2 linked regions of the Lytechinus pictus genome follow. The protein of the gene in region 2 purifies or fractionates together with the protein of the main gene of each other region. This does not show direct contact. Links are inferred from orthologs where the notes say so. Each region holds a gene or a part of one and is shown on either strand. Other genes may lie near its edges.

Region 1 (7,768 bases), on a different chromosome or scaffold from region 2:
CACTGAAAATATACCCCAAAACATCTCTTTTTGCTCATTCTAATCATATGACAAACGATTCATCAATAATATAATGTTGTGAAACCTCTGTACTTGTCCTCTCATAAAGAGAACACCTCACCTTGTGATAGATTCTATAAAAGTGAGAATATAAGTGAAATAAGTACTAAAGCAATGAGGGAGTTGTACGTGTGTGACATCACAGATCTTGGTCGCATTGCCAATGGGAGGATCTACATGGCATTAGTGATCTCAATATTCAAATGCTCATAACTTTCTTATTATTCGTTCAATCTTCCTCAAACTTTCAACAATATGTTTCTTTGATTTTTCTCTTTGATATGGATTCAGCTGGTTTCAAGGGTTTCATTCTCCTTGAAGTTGGTCCTTAAGTTAAAGTCAAATTGGTAAAAAATTCAATATTGTATGATTCAAACAATTAAAAAAATAGTGAATGATGGACTTCTCGACTCTCTCATTTGCATGTGATGTCACTGAGTTGTGAATAGAATTAAAACTGTTTTTTGAAAAATAAACGAAATGTCATACCTTTCTTATTTTATATCCAATTTCGATGCGAAAGATCCCATTCTATATAGTCATGAATTGAGTAGGTATGTGACAAAAAAATGAAAATCATCAAATATCAATAAATTTGGTAACATTTGAAAGCTCTTGAAAAGATCTTTCATATAATACCAAGAACTCTAATTTTCATCAAGAACTTATAAAGTTATTCCAGTTTGAGTCGCGCATATTCATCCAAATTTGTGGTCATTGTCTTAATGTAAAGTCAATGTAATACAGAACCGATTTTTGTGACCATTTTGTGAACATTTTGAACCCAAGTCTTCAACAGGCTCTAACTGCTTTGTTTTTTAGCCCTTTGAAGTAATTTAGGTATCAATGGAAAGGTGAAAGAAAGCTCAACTGATGTGTAATCATTTCACTTTGTAATTTTTCTTCTTAATATGTGTAAAATAATTTATTCTAATTAAAGGAATGAAACCCTTGAAACCAGCTGAATCCATATCAAAGAGAAAAATCAAAGAAACATATTGTTGAAAGTTTGAGGAAGATTGAATGAATAATAAGAAAGTTATGAGCATTTGAATATTGAGATCACTAATGCCATGTAGATCCTCCCATTGGCAATGCGACCAAGATCTGTGATGTCACACACGTACAACTCCCTCATTACTTTAGTACTTATTTCACTTATATTCTCACTTTTATAGAGTCTATCACAAAGTGAGGTGTTCTCTTTATGAGAGGAAAAGTACAGAGGTTTCACAACATTATATAATTGATGAATCGTTTGTCATATGATAAGAATGAGCAAAAAGAGATGTTTTGGGGTATATTTTCAGTGTCCAAAAGGGGAGAGTTGTTCATCTGTGACATCGTAGATCTTGGTCGCATTGCCAATCGGAGGATCTCCATAGCATTAGTGATCTCGACATTCAAATGCTCATAACTCTTCTATTGCTAGTCCTATTTTACTCAAGCTTTTGTTGATCTTATTCTTTGATTTTTCTGCTTTCACAAAAGCTAACTTGCTTCAAGAGTTTCATTCTCCTTTAATTCTAATTAATTATGCAAATTACGCAAAATCACAAATACTCGCCTCTTTTTTTGCCAAATGAAGGTGATCATGAATGATAGATAATTTATATAATTTAGTTGGCATCAAAACAGCATCATGTAGATAATTTCCTAAATGAATTTGTTTAAAATATTGTTTTTGTAAAGAAATTTTCTGATTTAAATTACAAGCTCTTTTTCAACTTTAGTATTGTATACATAAATGTATGTACGGAGGTCTTTTTTTACATATGAAAATTATCATTCCTTTTGTACTTTGTATGACCAAATGAAAATACAAGTGTGCTATTTTCTGATGTATTTGATTGTTTCACCGATTCCTTATGTATTCTTTTGTTTCAACAATTTGTTATACATGTATAATATGTAGCTTTTGATGTTAGAGACAATGGACATTTGATTACAATTATTTTAGGAGGGATGAGCAGCTGAGTGTATGTGTACGTAGCATTGTATGCAATTTATTACAAATATCAAGAACGATAAAAATAAAGCTTTAATATATTCTATCGGTTTTCAATGCATTTCTTAGATTTGTATACTGTACATACATTGTATTACAAAGGCCCTGTTTGAGCTATCTTTTTTTAAGAAAAATAAATAAATTCAGATTCTAGAGTGAAATCACTGCACATAAATGTACACAATTTTTTACACAACTTCCATACTATTATGAAACAAAACAAGAAAATTAGCAAGATTTTGTGGAAAAGAACTTAACAATCCAAATTTACCAATCTCCCCATGGACATGATAGATAGACTTGAAAGGCACAAAAGTATTAGTTGAAGCCAAAAGAAAAGGAAAAGAGTGGTCTATTTCTTTCAAAACAAAACAAAAAACAACCAGGAAAAAACAGATATCAAAGCTCTAAAAGATGAATAATTTTTAGATAAAAATTATTATTTCACAAATACTAAAATTTATTACGTCATACGTGATTAGGCCTATAAATAATTAGGGCCTATTAGTATTTTTATACTAATTATTTATAATTACGTGATAAATTTTAACATTTGCGAAGTAATATTTTTTTCTATAAATTATTCATCAGAACGGCATCGCTAGCCGGAAGTACGTCATACGTAAGCGGTTCAAGGGTCGACGCTATTGAAGTTTGCGTTGTTTACATGTGGATCGAGGGGTCTACTCGGTATCAGTTAGGTAAGAAACCTTAATTTTTTCACATTTTTATATTATAATTTTTAAAACCTTCCTACGCATTAGGCGTAGGAAGGTGTAAAAATCAATGAAATTCATAAAATTCAAGTTATTTTTGTTTCAAAAGATGGATTTCCGAGGGAAATCCATCTTATGATCTTTGTTTTGGCCCTTCTCTTCTCACTTCTGCGACTAAGGGAAGAGTGTCAAAACGAAAGTCAAAAAGAAGTATATTTCATTATTTTAAAAGTCATCATCATTGCGTCCTCAAGACTAGAGAGAGTATCAGAGCGAGGAGCGAGGAGCCTACGCCACGGTACACGAACGTCACGGGTAGCGAAGGTGAAGCTTCGCGGGCCCTGCATGCCGCGCCGCAGCCGACTTCCCTGACCCTGGCTCGCTCGGCCCGGCCCTGCAGTGGCATGGCCCGAGGCCGAGCGCGAGACGAGTACCAGTACGTACCGCCACAGGCACAGCTCACAGGGAGTGGCACAGGCCAGGCAAACGAAACTTACCCGAATCTTCCCAAGGACCCCATTATTCTCCAATGTTTGAGCAATGAGGTCTCTTAATTCTGTGTCTTCGTCAGCAGACATGATGGCACTTTGGTAGGGTAAATTGTTCCAAATCGAGTACAAGTCCAAATGAATGTAAGAGCCAAAAAAATAATTGAAGTTATCTTGCAGAGATAGTAGTCGGCAAGGCTAAGTATGGTGTCTACAAAGGGGATTCAGGGGGGAAAAACTATGACTCTCTATGGCGAAAATACTGTAGTCCATTTGACTGGTTGCCAAATAAAAAAAGACCCCCCCCCCCCCGCCTCATACAGTTCAATACAATACAATTCAATTCACAATAATGTGTAAAACGTTGTACGGTCAGTAATTAATTCATGTTTACAAACGGATGACCCAAAAATAAGGTTGTAATTATAGCCGCTATATAAATATACTTTTGTGATGTAATTTGCTACTGCATGTCTGTGAATCTTGAATAGACCATCAGGTTAAGAATAATTCTTAGGAATGACTATTGACTCTAACCAAAATAAGACCCTCACTTAAAGGGAAGTAGGGCCTACACCCTGACGAAAAGTTTGTTGTAAAACTACCCGGATAAAATTTGGTAAAGAAGCCTTGAGAAAAATCATATAGATTAAGAAATTTAATAAAATTTGAAATTTTTTATTTGACGTCATGTACGAGCAGCTGCCCTAAGTGTAATGCAATCTAAAATGCATTAATTCAATTTTGAATGGTTCATGATGACTATAATATATTTTTTGTCATTCAGGAGCAGATGCAAATAATAATAATAATAATATTCCGCATTTATATAGCGCTTAATACATCGGAACGACGTCTCTAAGCGCTTTACAGACATATTATTACAGGCAAATGATTTGCCTGTTGACATACAGGTTCAATAAAATCATTTAAGTGTATTGCGCTTTTGTAACCGGAATGAAAAGGCGATAACTTATACATCAAATGATTATTGCATTGGAAAATGAAATTTCATTGATTTTTTCTTTGTTTTTTTTTCATTCACGATAAGCTATATAACTCGCATTATGACGTCACATAAAAAAAATAAATTCTGATAACTTTCTAAATCTTTAATCGGTATCATCATCAACAATTAACTTTTTTTTTTTTTTATGTTATCAACAATTAACTTCATATCTACGTACAACAACATCATTTTTTATTCCCGCTTTTATTACAGCAAGGATGGGTTCCATCGTCTCGCTTTTGTTGAAAAAAAAAACCCAGTAATTATCATAAAATTATCATGTGAGGTTTTCTCCTTGAATGACAGGACCGGGACAGGACAACTTCAAATCGCGATTTGAATTCCCCATTTTTTCCGTCATTAGCAAAGTACGCTAAAATAGGACAGGCTATAATGGTCAGTGGTCACTGGGCCGATTGGGGCAGAGTGTACGCCCCGTGTACGCCCGATGATTTGTTTCCTTTCAGTTTTTGCTTTTATTTAAACCCCGGTGGGATGAGTGTTTCCGAGAATCATTTGATGATTTTTTTATATAAATAATTGTGAAAGCATTTACAGGTATAACAGTGAAAAGGGCTTCTCGAACTGATAATATCTGGGCTGTTTTTTTTTTTTTTTTGGGGGGGGGGTGTCTGATTTGCCAGTGATCTGATCCCCAGGAGTAATTAAAAAAGACGGTCTTTGACCTCAACTGTCAAAAATTCGACACTCGCCTGCCAAGAACAAAAATTGCCTTTTGTGTACTCCTCCCGGACTCCTCCCCCTTCCTTTAATGGGCTATCCCACATATTTGGAAATTTCAGGGAAAATTGTATTAATTGTCCTCTAGCTTTTTCGTTCCTATCATGAAAAGTAAAATATAATAGCCTTTTGAGACATTATTTATGGCATTGGCGTAGCCAGGAGATATCAGTAGGCGGGGCGGGAACATGGCGAGCGAACTTAAAATTTTGTGCATTTCCCTTATACTCAATTATATTTTTTTCGGTATAAAGTGATGAATACATTCGTTTTATATTTTTTTCGGTATTTTTAGTTTTTTCGGTATAAAGTTTGAATACATTCTTTTTTTACTCTCTCTCTCTTTCCTTTTCTCCTTTGCTTTTTTCTTTTCCTTTTTCTTTCTAACTTTCTCTCATTTTTCTTTCGTCCTTATTCCTTCTTCCTTCCATCTTCTTCCATTCCTCCCTTTCCCTTCATTTTTTCTTTCTTTCTTTCTGTCAGTCTGTCTGTCTGTATGTCTTTCTTTCTTTCTTTATTTATTTATTTCTTTCTTTCCCTTCCTTGCTTTTCCCTTCAGTCGGTAGAGCGGGGCGGGTTTCGGATTCCGATGACCCGGGTTCGATTCCCAATTGGTGAGCTCTTGCCAAAGTTTGGTAAGGCATTAATCCATAGACGGATCCAGGGGGCCGATCGAGGGGCACGCCCGCCACTTTTGAAATGGCTGCCAAATAAAAAATATATCACTTTTGGGGGAAAGACTCATATGGAAAGCCAATAAAGTCAACTTTCAAATGACACCAAAAGTTGGAAAACTACTCATGCTTGAGCGAGCACTGCCCACTGAAATAAAGGGTAAGAAAATTCTGTGCCGGAATTAGCCTTCCAATTTCTTTCCGTTTTTTTTTTGGGGGGGGAGGGGGGAACTTTTGAGGGTTTGAGGGTTTTATGATGAATTAATGATCAATTGTGATCAGTTTGTTATCACATTGAAATTTAATGAATGAGTGATCATGAATTGCAATTTTAGTGCAGCATTTGACTTTATCATGTGGATCTCAGCAATGTGTCCATGAGAGTCAGGAGAATAGGGGGTAAGATAGAACTTAAGTAGGTGAAGTACGTTGATGGGATAAAGGTCAACAGAACATTTAGCAACCCCTCCCTCCATCTCTAACCCCCCCCCCCCTTCTCTCCTAGCTCCTGAGAGACTATAAGCTTGGCTATATAGGCTGGGCGGGAATTGGCTGCCTTACAATTATTTTGAGAGCTTAGTCCTTCGGAACTTGCAAAGCTAGGGGTGTTATGTTAAATTGATTATGTACTCCCCTCCACCTCGATCCATTTCCCCGGTTTCTTCTCCCCCCCCCTCTCTCTCTCTTCTCTCTCTCCCTCTCCACCTCTCTATTTCTCTCTCACTTCCTGGATTGTAGCCCGATTCAGAACTTAACTGCCAAGTGACCGGTGGCTGATGGTCAGTTTTTTTTCTCTTTTTATTGAATGGTTACCAAAATTGACTGATTATGATGATTTATGAAAAAAAAATATTGAAAAAAATGAATGTTTGATTGATCACATTGAATGAGTTGATTCATGATAAATTGTTGATTAAATGATCGATTGATAGGAAAAAGTTGATGCCTCAATTCAGAATTCATCATTAACATGATTAAATCAACATTCTGCTCTGGACTTCACGCGTACATGACAATAGCAATCAGTCTCTCAACAGGAGGGGAGGGCGGGAGAGAGGGAGGGGAGGCTAAATTTTCTGTAACGTTGACCCTTATTCAATCAACCTACTTCACCCCCTATATTCCCCCGACTCCCATTAACACATTGCTGAGATCCACATGATAAAGTTGAAAGGCTGCCCCCAAAAAGTGCAATTTGTGCTCACTCATGCATTAAAGTTCAATTTAATAATTTATGAAATTTGCTTAAACAACCAAAACTGGCCACGGTTGATCATTAAGTTCCGAAGGATTTGTCTCTCAAAGAAACTGACATAAATTGGAAGGCTATAATTCCGGCCCAGCCTAATTTTGATACCGTTTGTTTCAGTGCAGGGCTACCCCCTTCAAAGAAACAAACAAATCAACTTTGAGCGTGGCCGATCGGGGAAAATATGAGTGAATATTTTTTTCCGCCCCCCCCCCCCCACTGGCGAAAGCTGGATCCGCCCCTGTTAATCTTCATTATTACCATGTCCCTCGGAGAGGACCTTAAGCAGTCGGTCCTCTGGTTCTTACTTACAAGCATTCCTGCTTTCTTAGCCGCTACAGGTAAACATTTTCTTTAAACCTTCACCATTATTTACTCTTGATGTTTTCTGCTGCTTTTGAAAAGAAAATAATCTTCTAATACCTTTTTAATATCTTTGATGGATTTTCTCAGACCTTCACCATTGCGTTTTGTTTTTATTCTGCCATTTTTAAAAGTCAGGGTGAATATTTCCCATCTAAACAAATATGGAAAATATTTATCCTCATGAAGCAGGCCGATATATGATCGAGTCGTATAAATGCAAATATTCCGGACAAAATCTATTCTCTTCAAACATTTTCCAGGATCAACTTTTAAAGCTCGATCCCCATTAAGGAATAATTCCGCTTAATTCTTGTGAAAATCAGGGGAAAATCATTTCAATCACAATTCGATATTCCAAACTTCCGATCTGTAAAAAAAAAAATTTAAGCACCAAAATCTATTTCTAACGATACGAAAAGGGAAGGCGAGGAGAATAGCAAGAAAAAAAGTAGGCGAC
Region 2 (8,006 bases):
CAACCATTTGATTTGGAGAGAAAACAAATATAAAATTGAAATCTTCATCAAATTCGAAGTAAAACAAGAAGTTATGACATTTAACATTTTACTTAATTTCACACAGTCAGTAATTATCTACACAGCATGGGTCATATGCAAATGAGGAAGCTTATGATGATTAATGTATGGAATATGAAATAAAATGTAGAACATAGTGTGACTGCTCCATGAACATTTCAATAATCATTGACATATTCTGAACTTATACCGATTCAGTCAAGAGCTTTTGTACTGTTGAGTCTAAAAAATGAAAAATTTGGTACTTCATTTAATGAAAAAAAAGGTGAATGTGTGAGATCATGGACTATCTATCTCATTTACATATAATATGCATTGTACATGCAGTTAACACATTTTATGAATTTAACAAAAAAATTACAATGTCATAACTTTTTTTATTCAACATTGGATTACTATGAAATTTTCAGTATTATGCTTGTTTGATTTTTATTGGTTTTACCATTCAAATCAACTTGCTCACTGAGAATGAATTGGCCTTTAAATGTCTTTTCACATTATTACCTTTCTATTGACTTTGATGCAGTGTTATGTGGGTATTCATACTTGGTTGAAGAGGAAAGGGTAAGGGGTGTTGTATATTTATCAAAATATTCAATAAACAAAACAAAACAATGATATACCTGCAGCTCTTCATTATCTAGTAGCTCTCTACTCCTCCTTTGCAAAAAAACGGCTCTAAATAAGATCAACCAATAGAAAAACATACATGTACATGAATTATTCAATTTTTACTTCACGCAGTCTACATCCGCAGGCTACAACTATTACCAGATCTTAAATACATATACTGCATTTAACTTAAAACCAAGTATAACTCTCACTTCACAACTGGATTGTAATTGCAATTGCACTAATATTTTCTTCCTTTTTTTTTTATTTGCTGAATTCAAGTCTCAACTGAAGATCTACTTGTTCCCCTCTCACACATGATCTAATAATATAATGTTCAAGAGAGTTTCTATATTTTCATATCTGTTATTTGTTAGCTTGAAGTTGATCTCTCAGTCAGTTCTCCAGTTATTGGAGAACAAAATGTTTCAATGTATATAATGACCACTGTGACCTTTGACCTCATGACCCCCAAATAACATCTCTCCTTACATGGGCTAAGCAGAAGATCACTCTTTTATCAAAATAAAAACAGGGCAAATAAACAGAGTGATGACCCCCAAAACATAAATTGCCTCACAAACCATCTATGGTTGGTGGCGGCATAAAGAGAGGAAAAGAGAACACCGCACAATAAAGAAATGATAATAAACATTGGTGGTGTGTACTTTTCACAAATTATGTGCATTCTTGATGCTTTTTACCTGCATTCACAAAAAAATATCTTACCTGGATTCCTCTCTTAATTTTTGAAGCAGTACATCATCTTCACCTGGTAACTATATCAAATAAAACAACATGAATTCACAATCAAAGTACACAGAGCACCCCAAAACAATCAGCTTAGAACTATTATTGTACAGTACTAGTTCCAATCTTACTTTAATAAAGAGAAAATACAATAGAAGTTGCAAAGTCTACAATCATGGAATTAAAGTAGACTAATTGAGACATCAATCAGATGCAGAAACAAGGCAAAAGCGATTTTGTGTCTCGCGCCTTATGAAAATAACCAGAAATATCGTGATTTGCGAGGGCACGCAACAGAATTGTATCGAAACTTCATTGTGAAATGACTGGGAGAGAATAACTCTTGTCCTAAGAGCCTTGTACGTAAACTTAATGTTGACCTGAAAATGACCTTTGACCTTACCATGTGATCTCCGACTGCAGCATAACATGCAGGTCGCCTAAGTACATCTTCCATCCAAGTTTGGTTGAAAAGTGATTTACGGTTGCGGAGTTAGGTGTCATAAGAGTCTTGCATGTAAACTTTAAAGTTGACCTGAAAATGACCTTTGACCTAACCATGTGATCTCCGACTGCAGCATAACATGCAGGTCCCCAAAGTCCATCTACCATCCAAGTTTGGTTGAAAAGCGACTTACGGTTGCAGAGTTAGGTGTCATAAGAGAGTCTTGCATGTAAACTTTAACATTGACCTGAAAATTACCTTTGACCTAACCATGTGACCTTTGACTGCAGCATAACATGCAGGTCCCCCAAGTCCATCTACCATCCAAGTTTGGTTGACAAGTGACCTATGGTTGCGGAGTTAGGTGTCATAAGAGAGTCTTGCATGTAAACTTTAACGTTGACCTGAAAATGACCTTTGACCTTACTATGTGACCTCTGACTGCAGCATCACATGCAGGTCCCCCAAGTCCATCTACTATCCAAGTTTGGTTGAAAAGTGACTTACGGTTGCGGAGTTAGGTGTCATAAGAGAGTCTTGCTTGTAATAATAATAATAATAATAATAGCGGTATATTTACCCAGGGTAGCTGCTTCAGTTCCGAAAACTGTTCTCCCAGCGGGCCCTGCTATTATTACCCCGGCTTTAGCTGGGCTGCCTAGGCGCTCAAGCATTCAAGGAATTAATCCTGCCGGGTACCCATTTACCTCACCTGGGTCGAGTGCAGCACAATGTGGATAAGTTTCTTGCCGAAGGAAATTACGCTATGGCTGGGATTCGAACCCACGACCCTCTGTTTCAAAGTCCGAAGACTAATCCACTGGGCCACAACGCTCCACATGTAAACTCCACATGTAAACCACATGTAAACTCCACATGTAAACTTGTAAACTTTAACGTGACCTGAAAATGACCTTTGACCTTACCATGTGACCTTACACGCTTCACATGTAAACTTCACATGTAAACTTCACATGTAAACTTCACATGTGGAGTCTTGCATGTAAACTTTAACGTTGACCTGAAAATGACCTTTGATCTTACCATGTGACCTCCGACTGCAGCATAACATGCAGGTCCCCCAAGTCCATCTACCATCCAAGTTTGGTTGAAAAGCGACTTACGGTTGTGGAGTTTTGTGTCATTAGGTTTGTGACGGACGGATGACGGACGACATTTGGATCCCTTAGTCTCGCCTTCACCTCTGGTGGGCGAGATAATAAAGAAATGATAGCAAGTTAAACAAAAACTTTAACATTTATGTAACAGACCATCAGACTAACAGGAAAGGGGATTCCTAGGTCTCTGCCAAACTTTGTTTAGGCAAGGCAAAAATCTTAAACTTGACACATACAAATTGTATAGCTTAATTCTGTTTTTTGAAGCTGCAATATGAATCACATTATAGAGTATCAAAGATGTCACAAAGGCCAAGATAAAGGAATATAAATCAGGAACACCCTCTGATATAACAGTGCAACTTTCGAAATGAACAAAAAGGATTTTGATTAATACAGTGATTTTTAACAAGACTTGAAATAAAAACTGTTGACCTGAATCCACCATCTAATCTTGGCCCTACTGACAAAAAAAATTCTCTGAATAATTACTTACTTTGAAATAAAATCTGGGAATGGCACTGAGAGTCTTGTCTTGCTTTTTATCTGGACCTTTCATTTCAGTGTAAAGTTTTGTGAACATCTCCATTTCTTCTGCCTTTTTGTCTCCTTCTGTTTTACCTGAACATATTCAAAGAAAGAGTGAAACTAGCACATTAATGATGTGGAGCTCATCCAGCATCTCGCAAAGAAATTTAACACAATTTTTAATTTCAGCCAAGTTGACACTGTAGAGAATTATATTGGTGACATAAATTGAGGAAACAGAATTGAAATTGATGAAGAAATTACAAAAAAGAAGCAATTTTTCTAATTTATGAAGAAAAAAATTCGTATAAATAAGCATAAATAATTTTCTAGTCAAAATTTCTAAATTCTGTGTAGAACCTTGGTGAACCTCATGTAGCTCACTGATGGAACAAAAAAAAATTTAAATAAAATGTCAACAAATAAATAAGAAGCAGACATTTGTGATTATGAATAAATTTTGCAAAAATTAGCGTAAGTAATTTTCTGGTCGAAATTTCAAAATACTGTGTACAAGTTTGGTGAACCTCATGCAGCTCTACCAGATGGAAGAAAAAAAATCAAATCAGTCAACAAATAAAAGAGGCATTTTCTAGGATTTATGAATAAATTTTGCATAACTTAACATAAATAACTTTCTACTCAAAATTCTGTGTAGAAGTTTGGTGAACCTATGAAGCTCTACCAGACGGAAGAAGAAAAAAATTGGCAAATAAAGAAGAAGTATTTTATGTGAATTTGGAAAAATACGCATAAATCGATTTTGCAATTTTAGCATAAAATTTTTTCTCTTCAAAATTCTGTGTAGAAGTTTAGTGAAACTCATGAAGCTCTACCAGAAGGAAGCATAAAAATTAAAATCGGAAAACAAATAAAGAAGCATTTTTTGTGAATTTTGAAAAATGTGCATAAATTAGCATATTTAATGAGTTTCAAAATTCTTTGTAAAAGTTTTGAATCCCCAACCTAGTGCTATAAAAAAAAGCAAACAGAATTGAAATCGGACTTGAAATGACCAAGAAGAAGCATTTTGAAATTGTGGACAGACGACGGACGCCACGCCACAAGCTCATCTGGCCCTTCGGCGCTTTGGGCCGGATTACTGACAATAAAACTTTTTGGAAAACACTAAAAGTAATTACACATAAAACAAAACAATAGAAAATTATACGTGCCTTGAACGAAGCCAGCAGTGCGAGCTACCATTCATTTGTCAACAAACATTCGACCAAAGTCTATAGTGGACAATTTGCCGACTTCACGTAATGCTTTGCATCGATTTACGTGTAAAATAATTTTAGTGCCTAGTCTTTCCTTTGTAGTGTCTTTGTTATGAATATGAATTGAGCACCCTCTTTAGAGGTAAAATTCGGGAAATGCGAGTTAACTCCTCAGTTCATCAACGAGAAGAGAAATCAGCGCTTAAATGTAGTATTTTAGGATTAGCAAAAATTTGATTCATATCATTCGGTAAGTTTCGTAGAATATTGTTATTCTTGTAAAAATCTAAGTGCAAGTGTTGCATGCGCCATGTCTACAATTTTCCTGTGCACAGCGGCATGTAATGCACCCGTGGGTGGGTGCATATATAGGCTCCACTACACTTCACTACCGCTACACCTACCTGAACCATCGGCGATAAATACTCGCTCTAAAACACCAGTGACAGCCTGTGTCACTTTTTGATAAAAAAGGCGGTTACACTTCGTAATTCCGAAACATGTAAATTGCCTATTACCTCGATTTTCTTTAATCCGAAAACGTTAATCTGAACATTTGTGGCGTTATTCCGAAGGTTCGTAATTCTGAAGGTTCGTCAGTCGAAAACGAAATAAGGTTCGTTATTTAATACGAAGGTTCGTTAGTCCGAAGACGAAATAAGGTTTGTTATCCTGAAGGTTTGTTAGTCCAAAACAAAATAAGGTTCCTTATTCAGAAGGTTTGATAATCCGAAAACGAAATAAGATTTGTTGTTCCGAAGGTTCGTTAATCAAAAAAATGAAATAATCGGTGGTGAAGTTAGGAAGACCGGAAGGGTAAGCATGGTGGAGGGGGGGGGGGGAGAGAAACTCCATTGCTGTTCAATTGTAATGAGGATGGGGAGGCAAAAAGAAGGGCGGCGGAGCAAAGTAGAGTAAAGTAGAGCAAAGCCTTTTTAAAGTGATTTCTGATTATGGTAAGATATATAGTTAGGCTTTATTTTTCGCGAGAGTGTAACGAGCGGTTTGGACAAAATTTCAAAACTGATGTTGTATAACTCGTTTTTTGGTCAATTAACTGTTAAAAGGGCATCCTTGGGAGTTGTTTCGAGCATGAATCACAAGCTAAAACTTTTGGACATTTCAACAAGAAATGAAGATAACACATTCTGAGCATTTTTTTGCAATAATTAAAAAGATGTGCATCTAACTGAAGAAAAACAATCGAATTCCACATGTTCAGGGGGGAATGAAACTTTGTTTCCCATGACAATGAGGAGAAAATTAGGATATTTCATATAATAAAATACAAAAGAAATAGTGAGTGGGTGATGTCATCATTTGCATACTGACCAGGATGTGCATATGTTCTGTTTTGTGAAATTTAACGAAACTTTAAAATGTCATAACTTTCTTATTTTACATCCAATTTTGATGAAATTTTCAGTGTTCTGCTTGTTTGAATTTTCTTTTTCTATTCAAATCATCTTTCTGTTGGGTTGGACTTGTCCTTTAACAAGTATTGGAAACAAAATGATACTCCCTGAATTGGCCCCCTAAACAAGTACAGCGATATTTTTATTGTTACGTCGGTCGTCGGCTTTACCTTTACCCACATCATTGGGTTTAGTACAGCCCGGCCCACCTCCCACATCTCGCGCAAATCGTACTCTAAACACGTAGTGTTGACTCTTGGGGCAAAAAGTACATCCTTTATAAAACATTTCAGTCTTAATTTTTTACACCCTCGCAAATTTTACCCTAAACACGTAGCTTTTCTAGCGAAAATAGATACCCTTTTTTCATTATTTTAGTGTTTTTGACACCCTTATTACATTACTTACGTAACATGCCCCATCTTGAAAAAGACATCCTTTTTACGTGTTTTTTTTGTTATCCACTCGTCAATGTAAGTGCCCCCCCCCCCCCCGGGCAATCACCGCAACACACATCGAAGTACAGGCCCGGGTACAGGCGCTATCACTCACAAAAAAAAAACCCTGAAATACAAATTACGTCATTAAAATTGATTTTTCTGCACCATATTTCCAAAGCACGCGACAGATTTGTTCACATTCAGGAAGCGGGGTCCCCGAAAATGCAATAAAAATGAAGAAATCTGTGATTTTTTCAGAGTTTGCAAACTTTACTTTCTCGCTAATTTATGATTGTATCTTCAAATTACCAATAAAAAACCAAATCAGAATTTTTTTCTTTATTGCAGTTCATTGGCGACATCGGACTTTGCAATTGTTTTAGGAAGGTGCAAGAGATCCGAGAGCACATGAGAGCAAATCGCTCGCCAATTTTGTGTATTTTTTTAGCTTTTCAGCAGCCATAATAATAGTAAATATGAATAAAATTGATGCGGCAATCAAAAAGGGAAGCGGGCGAGAAACATCACTTTTTGATATTTTTTTAGCCAATTTTTGAAAATAGTAAATAGTAAAAAATTTCATGCGGCAGCCAAAATAGATGCGCGCGAGGACGATCAACTACTTTCTTTTTTTACTTGGCTTTAGCGCCATCAACAACCTTCCTTAGTTTTATTTCCGTCGAAGAGACATGCGAAGCAACTTTCCAGGCCAAGCCCGAGGTAAGTGATTTTGCTCTTTTTTTATATGCTTTTTACATAAAAAAATATTTGTAAAATTGAAATTGGAACGCTTTTCACCAGAAAAAGCCCTGGTGAGTTGCGGAATGAGTTTTCGGCTAAGTAACATTATTTGTGGTATGAAGCGATTCTTAACCGACAACTCTAAAATCCGTAGCGTAAACACGTACGTGGTGTGAGGTTAGTATGGGGATTCGTTAGTATAGCATACTAGCCTCGCAATACGTGTGAGTGGGCTAGCGCTTTCTCGACGGCGAAGGCTCACCAGAGGTAATACTAGGGTGTCTGAAGCCACACTGAAAAGTGTCAACATAAAACAGGCTGATTTAGGGGGGAAAATGGCACATTTTTTCGGGAAGTTCAGGCTGCTAGAAAAATGTGATCTGAATTGATTAACTTGTGTTTGACATGTATGGAAAGAGAAAATTCAGGGGCTTCTTTTGACAGTAAGGACAAGTTTATATGATCATTTTGAATAAGGATTTAGGGTCATTCCATGCCAATTCACCCAATGAATGTGCAATTTTGCACCCGACCCTCTCGGAATTCGTTGTAAATTGGTACACATAAAATTCACCATGGCCCACGCACAAAACAAAAAAAATTAGTCCAATTGGTCCGTCGGTTCTCGCGCTACGGCCCGCCCTTTTCTCCTTGTTTTGACAAAAATGGGCGTGACC

Evidence for each region.
Region 1: the proteins of serine/threonine-protein phosphatase 2A regulatory subunit B'' subunit gamma-like (region 2) and centrosomal protein 43-like purify together in Homo sapiens (affinity purification with mass spectrometry; 3 studies listed by BioGRID and IntAct, counting the BioPlex papers as one, with this or other methods). This does not show direct contact. The link is inferred for Lytechinus pictus from reciprocal best matches to the Homo sapiens genes PPP2R3C and CEP43.

The regions. Positions count from the first base shown.
Region 1 is NC_087254.1:18,222,943-18,230,710, reverse strand, and holds the start of centrosomal protein 43-like, read right to left. Parts: upstream 3,466-7,768; 5' UTR 3,363-3,465; coding exon 3,282-3,362; intron 1-3,281. UniProt on the Homo sapiens protein: Required for anchoring microtubules to the centrosomes. Required for ciliation.
Region 2 is NC_087251.1:8,499,549-8,507,554, reverse strand, and holds the start of serine/threonine-protein phosphatase 2A regulatory subunit B'' subunit gamma-like, read right to left. Parts: upstream 3,636-8,006; 5' UTR 3,575-3,635; coding exon 3,482-3,574; intron 1,452-3,481; coding exon 1,402-1,451; intron 739-1,401; coding exon 684-738; intron 1-683. UniProt on the Homo sapiens protein: May regulate MCM3AP phosphorylation through phosphatase recruitment. May act as a negative regulator of ABCB1 expression and function through the dephosphorylation of ABCB1 by TFPI2/PPP2R3C complex.